2 linked regions of the Mus musculus genome follow. The protein of the gene in region 1 purifies or fractionates together with the protein of each later gene. This does not show direct contact. Links are inferred from orthologs where the notes say so. Each region holds a gene or a part of one and is shown in the gene's direction. Other genes may lie near its edges. The genes, in order: Tmprss6 and Hjv.

The links.
Region 2: the proteins of Tmprss6 (region 1) and Hjv purify together in Homo sapiens (co-immunoprecipitation; 3 studies listed by IntAct). This does not show direct contact. The link is inferred for Mus musculus from reciprocal best matches to the Homo sapiens genes TMPRSS6 and HJV.

The regions. Positions count from the first base shown.
Region 1 is NC_000081.6:78,450,659-78,457,274, reverse strand, and holds part of Tmprss6 (transmembrane protease serine 6), read left to right. Parts: intron 1-2,156; coding exon 2,157-2,361; intron 2,362-2,993; coding exon 2,994-3,130; intron 3,131-4,370; coding exon 4,371-4,483; intron 4,484-4,689; coding exon 4,690-4,799; intron 4,800-6,616. UniProt on the Homo sapiens protein: Membrane-bound serine protease. Through the cleavage of cell surface hemojuvelin (HJV), a regulator of the expression of the iron absorption-regulating hormone hepicidin/HAMP, plays a role in iron homeostasis.
Region 2 is NC_000069.6:96,522,903-96,530,044, forward strand, and holds Hjv (hemojuvelin precursor), read left to right. Parts: upstream 1-2,282; 5' UTR 2,283-2,428; intron 2,429-3,508; exon of another isoform or gene 3,509-3,526; 5' UTR 3,527-3,612; coding exon 3,613-3,700; intron 3,701-4,132; coding exon 4,133-4,680; intron 4,681-5,161; coding exon 5,162-5,788; 3' UTR 5,789-6,314; downstream 6,315-7,142. UniProt on the Homo sapiens protein: Acts as a bone morphogenetic protein (BMP) coreceptor. Through enhancement of BMP signaling regulates hepcidin (HAMP) expression and regulates iron homeostasis.

The DNA.
Region 1 (6,616 bases):
CTGGTGGTGGAGCTGCGCTTCTTGCTTGTGTGGGTGCCCACGGAGGTCAAAGGGCAGAGGAGAAGTCAAACTCTCTCCTTTTGCAGTGCTAGGACTGAATCCAGGCATCATGCATGGCAGTCATGTGGTTCCAGCCTGCTGGCACCTTTCAAGTAGACTGAGTTCCCCCCATGCTCCACGCCAGGCCCCTGCTTATACTGTGGCCACCTGGGTGACAAAACACCCCCCCTACCCCCCACCTCCACACACACACTGTGAGCTCTGATCCCCACTGGGAGACAGACACACAGAATGTCACAGGCCAGGTACCAGAGCCAGAACGGATAGGCTGTGAAGGAAAGACTGGTTCTGTGCAAGGCATGAAGGTGAGCATAGCTGCAAGGCGGAGCAAGGAGTCAGGTGAGGGGATCCAAGGAGGAAGGAGGGAACGGCTCTTGATCCAGCAGCCAAAGCCATCCTAGAGGCTGGGGTGTCAGGCCCAAGTCTGGGGAGCTGGGAGTTCCTTGGGTCTAGTGGGGAACTGCCCCTTGGCCAAATGAGACATGGCTCCACATACCATGAACAAAGCTCAGGAAAGGCCTGGTGCAGGCATGAGTATTAACCTCTATCCATTGCTGGGGCAGGACTCTTAGTCCTGTTTGCCGTTAGCACTAGGCAGGAGGGCACACATCTCTGCTTTATTACTTTTCAAAAACAAAAATTATCAAAATGGCTCGCATTAGGTATGGGCTTAAAGCAAGATTCACAAAACAGAGACATCTCCGAGAAGCCAGGTAGCAGAGACAAGTCTCTCCCTTCCCCAGGCAGATTCCTAGGCAGCCTCTGTGCCCAGGAGGCATGTATCACACTAGAGTCTGGCTGGCCAGGGCAGGAGAGGGAGCAGGACCCTACCTGGCCCTCGTCATCACACAGAGTGGATAGGGCAAGGGTTATGTTTATGTATGCCAGAACTCAGGGTGGCTAAGCTACTGGCCAGAGTCACACAGCTGACGCATGCCGGTGCCAGGATGGTACAAACAGCCTTCCCTCCCCCAACCCCACCCGTCTCAGGTTCCCTGAGCCTGCTGGCAGAGCTCCTGGTCTCCCTGCTTCAGGAAGCCGAAGGCCCGGCTTAATGGGTTCTCAGCTTTGCTATCTCTGGCATCCAAGCTTGTGGATTAAACGAGCTTTAAGTAAATTAAATTTTATAAGTGCACTTAATTTATTATGCTTAATCAGGAGACTAAATGTATTAAATTAAGTTGAGTTTAATGGAAGGATATCCTGGGGTGTGGAGTCTGGTGAGACACAAAACAAGTTGTGAAATGAGGGTAGCTATTGACTGGGGCTGAGCCTTAGCTCCAGGGGACAGCTGTGGAGTGACAACTCAGCTGGGGGTCAGGGGGAGTCACAAGAAGACTCATTGCTTTTATTCAATGCTTATGGCTTTTATTCAGCATTTCTGGCTCCATGCTATGTGTCCCAGCATGGACTGTCCCCAGGCTGTGGCAGCCCCATGAGTGTGGGCCGCTGTCCTCAGTATACAGGTGGGAAAGCCAGCCTCCCAGGGTAGAAATTCCAGAGAACTGCTAAGGGCAGGGAACAGGATGGTGGGTGCAAGACCCAGGCCTCACAGCATCCCTGAGTGTTTGGCACTGGGTGGATGGGGCAGCCCACTGCTGGTCTTACAGCCTGCACAGTGTCACTCCAGGGGGACCCACGCCAGACTGTATAGCCTTGCCCTGCTTCACCTTCTTTGGCTCCTTGTGGCCACAGGACAGAGCAGTGCTGGTCCTGATGTGATCTGGTCTGCCACCTTCTCCCTCCCTATCTTGTCCTCCTGCAATGCCTGCTCTGTGTTAAGACTCTGCAAAGCTCCCCCCAGGCCTCTCTGCTTCTTGCCATCTATACACCTTGGGCTCGGTCCAAGGTCTTCATCTTCTGTGCTATCTTTGCCGGGCACTCTTCCTGGCCCACAAGGCTCTGTGCGTTTGTTAAACGATTGAATGAGTGTGTGAGTCAGAGGCTGGGCAGGGAAGCTACAGAGGGAAGAAAGGTGGGTACCCAAGCCTGGCCTAGCCCCTCTCCTCCCTGCCTGCTACCATGGCTGGAGAAGGCTTTGTGGCCATTCCCAGTCTCTCTTTCTGGCTAAGGGCTCTGTCCTTTTCTACCTCCAGGCTGTTATCGCTACAGCTATGTGAACCCAGGCCAGGTCCTCCCATTGAAGGGGCCTGACCAGCAGACCACAAGCTGCCTGTGGCATCTGCAAGGGCCCGAAGACCTCATGATCAAAGTGCGGCTGGAGTGGACCCGGGTCGATTGCAGAGACAGGGTGGCGATGTACGACGCAGCTGGGCCCCTGGAGAAGAGACTTATCACCTCGTGAGTCCCTCCCTGAAGGGCTGAGGGAGTCCCAGGGTCAAAGGCCACACTTTGCATTGGAGCCTCAGCCTCAGGCCCATATGGATGCTGTGGAGAGCAGTGGGAAGGGAGGCTACAAGGTTGTGTGCCAAGCAGTGGTCTCCAATTTCTTCTCAGAGCCTCAGTTTTCCCATCTGGATGTAACTAACCAGTTGTAGGGTGATCTCTAAGGTCAACTCTGGGAAGGCACATGGCTTGTTAGAACATTCTAGAATCTGGCAGCAGTCTGGTATTTCAACCAGCACTCTTGCTGCATCCTAACTGTGTCCCTTAAAACACAGTGCTTGCCCCTTTGAGCCTCAGTTTTTCTCATCTGTAAAATGGGTGTATACTCTTGCGCACCATTTTCTGATATAGACAATATTGAAGATATGCAGCCATTGTGTCCCTCATTCTGTACTGGGTAGCTGGGGACCTCTAGGGCCCCAACCATCTCCTCCAAGATGGACACGGGGGTGCTGAACCTGGAAGACCCTGCAGGAAATGGGGCTGGCAGTGCTGAGTTGTGCCATTGTTTGATGCCAGGGGACAAGGTGGTGTCATTTCTGTGTCTCTTGGATCATACCATCTTGTACACTTCTCTGCTCCATCAGGGTCTATGGGTGCAGCCGCCAGGAACCTGTGATGGAGGTGCTGGCATCGGGCTCCGTCATGGCCGTGGTGTGGAAAAAGGGCATGCATAGCTACTATGACCCTTTCCTGCTCTCAGTGAAGTCTGTGGCCTTCCAGGGTGAGAGTCTCCAAGGATGGAGGGGGGCACAGACAGGAACCCTGGTCTCTGGTGGCATGTCCTATGCCTTCTCTGTCCTATCAGCGATAGAGTGGCTCTGGAAGCCTTCAGTGAGCCGCAGTCCCTCCCCTCCCTTCCTACCTCTCTCTCCCTTTGTCCTTCACTCTCCTCCCAGGGCCCTGGCAGCCTCCAGCAAAGGTATCTGTCCTGGCAGACCCCAAGAGGTCTTGGCTCATCCCCAGCCTCAGTCAATTCTTCCTGCCTCTCACTTCCCATCCTACCCCTCCCTGCCCCCAATCTGTCCTCTGGGTTAGCAGAATTAACTTGAGGACCCTGCCTGAGCTATAGCTGGACTTCTCGTTAGAGCCGCTTGCCGTTTCTAGCTGCCATTCCTCTGAAGGTGTCTGATGGTTCTTCTTATTCTCCTGGGTCATCCCTGGGCTCTCCCACAGGCCTCCAGCTGGCCCTGCAGATGTGACAACTGGTGTTCACTTGGGTTCTCAGGCACCATAGTCTCATAGGAAAAACCAAGGAAGGGTTTGGGGCTCTGGACCCCCAGGGACAGGTGACCTGAGAACCCAAAGTCACACTGCTCTGCTGCTTCCACCCCTGAGCCTCTTACTGAGTGACTTGGCCAAGCCTCCCTCCTCTCCTGGAACTCTTATTAGTGTGTGTGCATATGTGTTATGTATGTATACATGTGTGTGTCGTGTGTATGGGGTGCACATGTGTGTGTGTTTTACATGTTGTGTGGTGTGTGTGGTATGGGTGGTATGTGTGTGTGGTGTGTGTATGGCATGGTGTGTGTATGTGCATGTGTGTGTACATATGTGTGTTTCTCTATGTGCATGTGTGTACATACATGTGCATATGTATGTGTGCATTGCTGGGATGGACCTCGGGGCCTTCACACATGTTAAGCAAATGCTCTAGTGTGGAGTCACACCCTCAGCTCCTCCCTCTTTGCAAAGGCAGCAGCTCTCCCTCTCCAGCTGCCCTGAGAGCATATTTTGCATACTGTTAAGTTTAGTGTGCTTGCCACTCAGCAGATGGAACGTGCTGTGTCCATCACATCTACTCGCTGCTGAGCTTTGTACTCTTCTCTCCATTTTGTGGATGTGGAAACTGAGGCACACTTACATAGCCATGTTGGGCCCTGAGCTTTGCTGTTAGTGGGGTGCAGTGAGACACTGGGGGGGGGCAGGAAGGGGCCCATCCTAATGGCTGTTCTTGGACTCAGACTGCCAGGTGAACCTGACACTGGAGGGCCGGCTGGACACACAGGGCTTCCTCCGTACACCCTACTACCCCAGTTACTACTCTCCCAGTACCCACTGCTCCTGGCATCTCACGGTGAGTTCCTCTCCTCCTGCAGCCTGCCCTGTGCCCAGAGCAATCCTTAGGGCTTCAGGGACAGGAGGAGTGACATCCCACCTGGCCCAAGTACTCACAGGCTAAGTACAAGGTGGAAGGGTGGGGCTAGTTTATCGGAACAGGCACATGCCCAAGCTCGCCCACACCCGCTATGCCGCACACGATTGCCTGCCCTCCTTTCCCAGGTACCCTCTCTGGACTACGGCTTGGCGCTCTGGTTCGATGCCTACGCACTGAGGAGGCAGAAGTACAACCGACTGTGTACTCAGGGCCAGTGGATGATCCAGAACAGGAGGTAGCCTTCCCCTCCCCATCACTCGGACCTCATGCTCCTACCCATGCTGGGCCTGGGGGGTAGCAGAGGGTGGTGAGCGGAGGCTGAAGACAGCAAAGTCTCTCCTGACTATCCATCCTGTCCTGACTGTCCCTCCTGTCCTGACCAGCCTTTCCCCAGATACCCAGCAGGCTCCAGCACGCATTTCACCATCCTGTCCGTCCCAGTCAGGGTAAATGGTGGAGCTGCCTTGACTTCTGTAACCACATGGCTCTACCAACGATGGGGACAGGGCACAGGGCACTTGAGAGCACATGGCCTTTCTTCCACTCCCCTACAGTCCGAGGACGCCATTGTCTTTGCTGCCGTTGACTTCCATGGGGACAGTAGCTCTCAGGGTTACCCTGTGTATTTGTGTTCCCTGCAGTGTCCTGCCTGTTCGCTTGGCCTCCTGGCAAGGAGGTGTCTAGCTAAGAACGTCCTCTTGGGAGCTTGCAGGGGGCAGAGGGAGCTGTGAAGTGACGTGTGTGTGTGTGTGTGTGTGTGTTGGGGGCTAGCCAGAAGGATGAAGATGGACAGTCCTCTTGGGCCAGCAACTGAGGATACCGCTAAGCCCCATTTGCCCATTAGTTGATCTTATTCTAGATAGAGGGTGGCAAGGAGTGACAAAGCTGGATTTTTCCAATATGTTGGGGACAGTGACAAAAAGGAGGTAAACTGTCCGAGATGTGATGTGAGTCCGTGCTGTCGTAGCAACAGGCTACTGTGTGACATAAGCCTGATATGCCTAGGGGTCAGAAGGTCTGCATGGGGAAGGGCGCTGTCTTGTGTGCCCTTCTTCATGTGGCTCCCTCAGCCACCAGCCCACTCCGGGAGCTGCTTACTGGCTTCTGGTTTCGGCACCAGAGCCCATGACTGGAGTTTTCTGAATGAAGGTGCTGTGTTTTCAGCCATGACCCCTCCCTGAGTGTTGTCACTATCTCTGAGAGGCCAGAGGGAGAGGGAATAGCCTTGGGCCTAGCACTCTCTTGCAGCCTGTGCCTAAGGCCCATTAGTCTAGGTTGATCCTGTGCCAAGTGTTGTGGGGCCCCAGAGCTCAGTTTCTGCACAACAGAAACACTAGCTTCACCGGGGTAACTCAGATGGGTCACAGTAAGGCTCCTCCCAGTGGTTGTCAGTCACAGGCAGTTAGACTGGGGCTCAAAGCCTGGCTCCCCTGGTTCCTTCTTGGGCAAGACTTACCTCTCCCAGCCTCTGGAACTTATCTGAGTGTGCTGAGACTGGGATGGACTCTGAGGACGAAGTGCTCACCTAACATAGCATGATTTCTGGGCTCCACCTGGTAGCCCCCAATAAGAAAGAAAGAAAGAAAGAAAGAAAGAAAGAAAGAAAGAAAGAAAGAAAGAAAGAAAGAAAGAAAGAAAGAAAGGAAGGAAGCCATGGACATGCAAGATGGCTGAGTGGGTTAAGAGGCTTGCCGGCAAGTTTGAGGACCTGAGTTCAGTCCCTGGAACCAACATGGTGGAAGGAGGGGACTGACTCCCAGAAGTCATTGCTTCCCCTCCACAGACCTGCTGTCCCAAACAAGAGTGTGTTCTATTACACAGAAACAAACAAAGCAAAGGGCCTGGAACGAGACGCCTTCCACTGGAGACTAAATAAGATGGTGGGTGGAGACGGTACCAACCACAATCGCTAAATGGCTCTTACTCGGTGCCACACAGGTGTGGAAAGCGATTATGTGCTCCCCACAGTCGAGCAAGGGAGGCGGACTCAGATCCTGTCCTTAACCTGCTTTCTGCGGCTGTAACAAAATTGCCAAGGCAGGGAAGTTTATA
Region 2 (7,142 bases), on another chromosome or scaffold:
GCCCCTGCCTATAACCCAGCACCTTCAGGGTAATTATCTAAATCATCTGGCCAACATAAAAGGTTCTAAGCCAGCTGGGACCACACATATAACAACACTCTGTTTCAAAACAACTGATTCCTTAAAAATATTTTTATTTTTTAAATTTTATGTGCATATGTGTATGCCTGAGTGTATGTGTGTATGTGCACCACATGTATGTGTATGTGGCCTGAATGTATGTATGTCTGTGCACTAACTGTGTGCAGAAGCCATTAGAGGTCAACTGAGGGTATTGGAGCTCCTAAACTGGAATTACAGTTAGTAATGAGCTATCATGTGGGTGATAGAAGTGGAACCTGAATTCCCTGTAGGAGCAGCAAGTGCTTCAACCACTAAACCATCCTTCCAGCCTCAAGAAACTGTTTTTTTTTTGCACGTATTTTGGGTTTCAGAGTATATGCCACTTTGCATTTTATAGACAACCTAGTATGTCTTAAAGTCACTTGATTAATTTAGTTGGGGGATGTCTTAGTCAGGGTGTGTATTCCTACACAAAACATCATGACCAAGAAGCAAATTGGGGAGGAAAGGGTTTATTCAGCTTACACTTCCACATTGCTGTTCATCACCAAAGGAAGTCAGGACTGGAACTCAAGCAGGTCAGGAAGCAGGAGCTGATGCAGAGGCCATGGAGGGATGTTACTTACTGGCTTGCTTCCCCTGGCTTGCCCAGCTTGCTCTCTTATAGAACTAAGACTACCAGCCCAGAGATGGTCCCACCCACAATGGGCAGGGCTCGCCCCACTTGATCACTAATTGAGAAAATGCTTACAGCTGGATCTCATGGAGGCACTTCCTCAAGGGAGGCTCCTTTCTCTGTGATAACTCCAGCCTGTGTCAAGTTGACACACCCAACCATCCAGTGCAGGGAAATTTTATGGAATAAAAGTTCTTGGGATGTGGGCTGGTGAAATGGCTCAGCAGGTAGGTAGAGGAACTAGCTACCAAACCTCACATTTGGCCCCTAACGCCCACATGGTGGGAGGAAAGAATTGACTCCTATAACGTTTCTGACATCCACATAGGTACACACAGACACACAGAGACAGACATGTTCTAAATAACTTAATGTAAAAGATTATTGTGATATGGTCTTGTATAGTTGAGAAAAAGCTAAATTCATTATAAAAAATACATGTGCTCCCACACTTCTCTTGTAAAGTGTGTGTGTGTGTGTGTGTGTGTGTGTGTATGCGTGCCTGAGAAGGGACCATGTACCATGTGGACCTGTAGAACTTCATGTAGAGCTGACAGGGCCAGAAGCTTTTGTGACACACTTTGTAATCAGTCCTGTGCTGCTTTCCCTTGGCAAGTACTGTGGGACAGTGTCCCAGAAATGCCACCAGGTGAAAAGACGGACATAGCTAAAACCCTGATTATAATTGAATCTTCAAACAGTTTGTCTATAAAAGTATATTCCCAAATGTCTTCCTTCTGAATTCACCTATCTAACGCCACTCCTCTGTGGATCAGTAGTGTTCAAAACTGACTCCGATTCTTCTCTCTGCCTCTGTTACTACCCCGGCCCCGGCCCCTGCAACCTGGAAGCTTCTGTTTTTTGTGTTTGTATTGATGAGGAGGAGGGAGGAGGGATTGTTGCACAAACTAGTGTAATGGAAAAGGTGGAGAGAGAGTAGACAGCTGCAGAGATCTGATCTGGGCAGACGGAATAAACCCTTCTCGAAACAATTCTGCTCTCGGATTTCTCGGGACAGCTGGACCTTTCAGCTTCTGAAATAGTTGGCAGAGATGGGGGAGGGTCTCTGAACTATGCTTGCCGTCCATCTTCAAAGCCGGCCACCTCAGTGTATTATGTGTAGAAGAAATTCAATGGAATCCTCAGTAAAGAGAGGATGAGAGCAGTGAGTGACTGGCATCACACAAAATCACCACCAGCAGTCTTAAAGGCATTACTGGGAATACTGAGTTCATTACTGGGAATGCTGGAGGGCCTGAGTGGCAGCTTATAAGCTACAGTTGGATATATGACTTGGCCATCATCTTTCTTTATACTCTCCCTCCCTTGGTATCCAATATTTCCATATTCCATCCTTATTTTGCTCATCGTTCCTGCTGCCTTAGCTCCCACACCCCACTGCCACCAACGTTCCTGGAATTTTGGACCTAGCTATTTTTAAAACTGTCAACTCAGTAGGCACCTCCCTCCTCCTCTCAGCTGTCCAGTACTTGGGCCAACCATATACTCTCCCTCCCCCCTCCCCCCACACCAAACCTCCTCTGGCTCTCTGACCTGAGTGAGACTGCAGCCATTCCGGGGCAATCATGGAGAAAGAGATGGGGGACCCCCTGGCTGGAGCAGACCAACAGAATAGGCAACTATGGCTCGAGAACCCAGTATCAGAGTAATGCTTGACCTCGGGAAACAGTAAGTCCAGATGAAATGTCGATCACTTTGATAAGCTTTTGGGTCAAGGCCAGAACTTCATAAAGTTACAGACATCTGTTCTGAAAACTAAGATCTCCCCTTAGCAACTACCCCAGTCTTCACTTTTCCTCTTGCCTAGATGTTTTCTAATCCATGGCCATTTGATGTTTAATGCTGCCTCTCTCTGGCTTTCCTATTTTCCTCTCCATCTTATTACACCAAGACCTTGGGAGAGGGGGAGGGGGCAGTGCTAAGGACTGGGCCCAGGGCCTTGAGCATGGTAAACACTCAGCTACCATCGAGTTACACTCCCATCCCTACCTCAAGACCTCTCTGACCTCCTGCTCATATGCTTATCCCAAAGTAGGGTTTTGACAGGAGAAAAGGAGACAGACCCTCCCCCATATCTGTTCTCCTCAAAAGACCAGGAGTGTCTGGATTGGGCTTTTCAGCTGGGTCTGGAAAAACACATGAACTGTTAGACAGAAACATATATTAATTTGAATGCTTGATTTGTACCCCATCCTGTGAGAGGGATCGTACTGTCAGCCCTCTGGAGAGGCTGAGAGACCGGCTCTCCTTTCACTGGGAAGGTGATATCGTAGACAGGGCGTCTGCCTACCATGTTACCCTTTGTGCCCTTCTAACACAGTGAAGAAAATGAAACGGCAGGTGGTTTCTGGTGGGAAGGATCCATAAGAAGTATGTTCTTAAAGCGTGATCAGATCCTGGTGCTACTGGGGACCCACTGACATGGTCAGAACCTCACTTTCTCTAGGGGTCCTCCATTTTTGGCACATCTGCTATTTGGTAGTCAGGATGGGGCAGTACACTGGACTCTGCACACTGAGGTCACTCAACCTTCCCTCCACCACCACCCCGCCCCCGTAGGCATATTGCACAAGGGACCTGAAGGTGGCCGCAGGGGCAGGGCACAGAGGCTCACCAGCCACGCTCACCCTCTGGAAGCCTCCTTCTTCCCAAGATCCAGTCTGTCTCATTTTTGTTTTGGTCTCTTCAGATGCTCTCTCTACCCACCATCTTGACTGGTCTCCAACCCTTCTCTTTCCCCACACTCAGCCAAATTTCTTCTTCCAGTCACAGAAGTACCCAGAGAAATTCACTAGGTAGGAGGCTCATCATCTGGGAAGAACCGGTGCCTGGGGGGACCTGGCTGGATAGGTATGGGCCAGTCCCCTAGTCCCCGGTCCCCCCACGGCAGCCCTCCAACTCTAAGCACCCTCACTCTCCTGCTGCTCCTCTGTGGACAGGGTAAGGAAGGGCCAGGGAAGGGTTGGACATATCCAGAGGTTAGGATGCTGGGTAGGAATGAGCGCGCGGGGGTGGGGGTGGGTGGGGGTGTGGGGGTGTGGGGGGTGGGGGGAGAGTGAGGAGGGATGTGTGCTGAGTCCCAGCACCTCCCAACTCTGAAAGAGGCCTGTCTTGTTTCCCATTTAACTTGAAGAAGGACACAGATGGCGTCCTTAGACCCCAGGGAAAAGAAGTCTGACTGCTTTACACGTTTTTAGTAGAGGAAAGGAGGGAAGGAGGCAAGGATTGGGAGAATGAAGGTTGAGATTGGGAAAGCGGCCACGCTGAGTGGTAGGAACGGTGGGATGGCGGATGGTTTTTGGCAGTTAGGTGCATACTGGACTTGGATAGAACCTGTGTCTCATTTCACTGCCCTCTCCCTTCCGTCCCCAGCTCACTCCCAGTGCAAGATCCTCCGCTGCAATGCCGAGTATGTCTCGTCCACTCTGAGTCTTCGGGGAGGTGGCTCACCGGACACGCCGCGTGGAGGCGGCCGTGGTGGGCTGGCCTCAGGTGGCTTGTGTCGCGCCCTGCGCTCCTACGCTCTCTGCACGCGGCGCACGGCCCGCACCTGCCGCGGGGACCTTGCTTTCCACTCTGCGGTGCATGGCATAGAGGACCTGATGATCCAGCACAACTGCTCACGCCAGGGTCCCACGGCCCCGCCCCCGGCCCGGGGCCCCGCCCTGCCCGGGGCCGGGCCAGCGCCCCTGACCCCAGATCCCTGTGACTATGAGGCCCGGTTTTCCAGGCTGCACGGTCGAGCCCCGGGCTTCTTGCATTGCGCATCCTTTGGAGATCCCCATGTGCGCAGTTTCCACAACCAATTTCACACATGCCGTGTCCAAGGAGCTTGGCCCTTGCTAGATAACGACTTCCTCTTTGTCCAGGCCACCAGCTCCCCGGTTTCGTCGGGAGCCAACGCTACCACCATCCGGAAGGTCAGAGATTCGATTTTCATCCCAACACAATTTCTTGAGCCCTCTCACGGTCTGTCCGCCATACCACTCCTTCTTCTTCCCACTATTCAGCCACCCAGCTCCCTGTTCTTGTCTTTCCCAAACATTCCCTTCCATCCTGAATGGCTTCCTTCCATCAAACATTTGCTCTTGTAAATGTAATTCAGGAATTTCTTTCAAAGCAAGTAACTTGGGAGTTGCTGAGACTGAGACAAAAAGGAGAGAGAGAGAGGGAGGGAGAGGGAGAGAGGCAGATAGAGAGAGGCATAGGGAGAGAGATATTAGGAGGTTGAGTGGGGGTCAGGCACTATTAATGGAACACAGTAGGGGATAGGATCAAGGACTGAGGACCCGGAAGAAACTCGCATTTCTGCTGGGATCGGATCCCTGACTCTCTATGCAGCTTGATTGGCGTGAGGATGCTTTGGGCCCTAATGAAGTATTTTCTCTCTTGTCCTCATAGATCACTATCATATTTAAAAACATGCAGGAATGCATTGACCAGAAAGTCTACCAGGCTGAGGTGGACAATCTTCCTGCAGCCTTTGAAGATGGTTCTATCAATGGGGGCGACCGACCTGGGGGCTCGAGTTTGTCCATTCAAACTGCTAACCTTGGGAGTCACGTGGAGATTCGAGCTGCCTACATTGGAACAACTATCATCATTCGACAGACAGCTGGGCAGCTCTCCTTCTCCATCAGGGTAGCAGAGGATGTGGCGCGGGCCTTCTCCGCAGAGCAGGACCTACAGCTGTGTGTTGGGGGATGCCCTCCGAGCCAGCGACTCTCTCGCTCAGAGCGCAACCGCCGTGGGGCTATAGCCATAGATACTGCCAGAAGGCTGTGTAAGGAAGGGCTTCCGGTTGAAGATGCCTACTTCCAATCCTGCGTCTTTGATGTTTCAGTCTCCGGTGACCCCAACTTTACTGTGGCAGCTCAGACAGCTCTGGACGATGCCCGAATCTTCTTGACGGATTTAGAGAACTTACATCTCTTTCCCTCAGATGCGGGGCCTCCCCTCTCTCCTGCCATCTGCCTAGTCCCGCTTCTTTCGGCCCTCTTTGTTCTGTGGCTTTGCTTCAGTAAGTAGGCCAGCAACCCATGACTGGTTTGGAAACGATTTGAGGATAGAGGTTGGTGTGAGAAACCACAAAGATGTGCCAAAGGAAACAGCGGGGACAGGAGACAACACTTACTCAATCAGATGAGGTTGCAGTCCAGGGCTGAAATGACCCTAGAATAAAGATTCTGGGCCAGGGTTTTGCACTCCAGACCTTGGTGTGGGCTATTCACCATGGATTTCCCAGTTAGTGATTTCCCACTTGTAATGAAATTCCACTCTCCATACACCTGATACCACTCCTACAAGCCTAGAGATTGTGAGAGTGCTAATGACCAGTGAAACATTAAAGGACTGAGATATCGTAAAGGCAAAAACATGATTCTCTTTGAGAAAGTCAAAAGAGGAGAAGCTAATTAGGAAAAGCTTTTGGTTCAGAAACGAAGTGGGCATTGTCTGGCAGAGGAAGTCAGCTTTTGGAGACTGGCACCAACTCAGAAACGGGCATTTCCATCCCTTCCTAATCTGTTATTAAAGCGATTAGTTCTCCATCCTGTCCTCTGTTGCCTCTTTTAAATCCCTTTGCAGATGTGGCATGGAGTTGAGGCTGTGTGTTCACCCCACTGAAAGAGGCCTTGCAGTTACCAGCTATTGTCTCCTCCCTCTTGGAGTCTACAGGTTGTTGGAGAGAAAAAAAACTGGTTCATAGGAAGGAGTCATGAGTATTATTACATTTGTTTTTTATTTTCGGGGGAGCCTCATGTAGTCCAGGCTGGCCTTGCATTGCTGTCCAACTGTCTCTACTCCTCAAGCGCTGGGGTTGAAGTGGGTGGAGGAGTGTGTAATTCTTCACTGGATTCTATGGCTTTTGGATTTCTGACAGAGGATTCAGGTTCTGTTCCCAGCGCCCACAATACTAACAATGGCTTGCAATTATAGTTCCAGGGAACCTGATACCTTCAGGCCTCCTCTGGCATTTGTGTGCACATACTGCACATAAATTCATGCTGAACAAACACACATACATGTAAAAAATTTAAAATATATCAAGTTTTTTTGCTTCACCACTTTGTGCTCCCAGATCGCATGCTTGCATCCACCCAGGAACTATCTTTGGGTCCTCAAATGAAAGACACACACATTAGCTTATTTTTAAAATGCCAAAAAAAAAAAGAAAAAAAAAGTTAAATGAATTGAAAAAAAAATGCCTTGACTATGTCAAAGGCTGGACACTCCTAAACCTTCCCCTGCTATCTCAGGCCCAATCGGGGAAGTGGCCAGTGGCCACACGGCTGGTTGGCTTTATCTCCTGCTGCTCCTGCATCCCATCTTCTTTCCCTGAGTGAGGTGGTTCTCTCCTGTTCCTCTCTGTGTCCTCACCTGC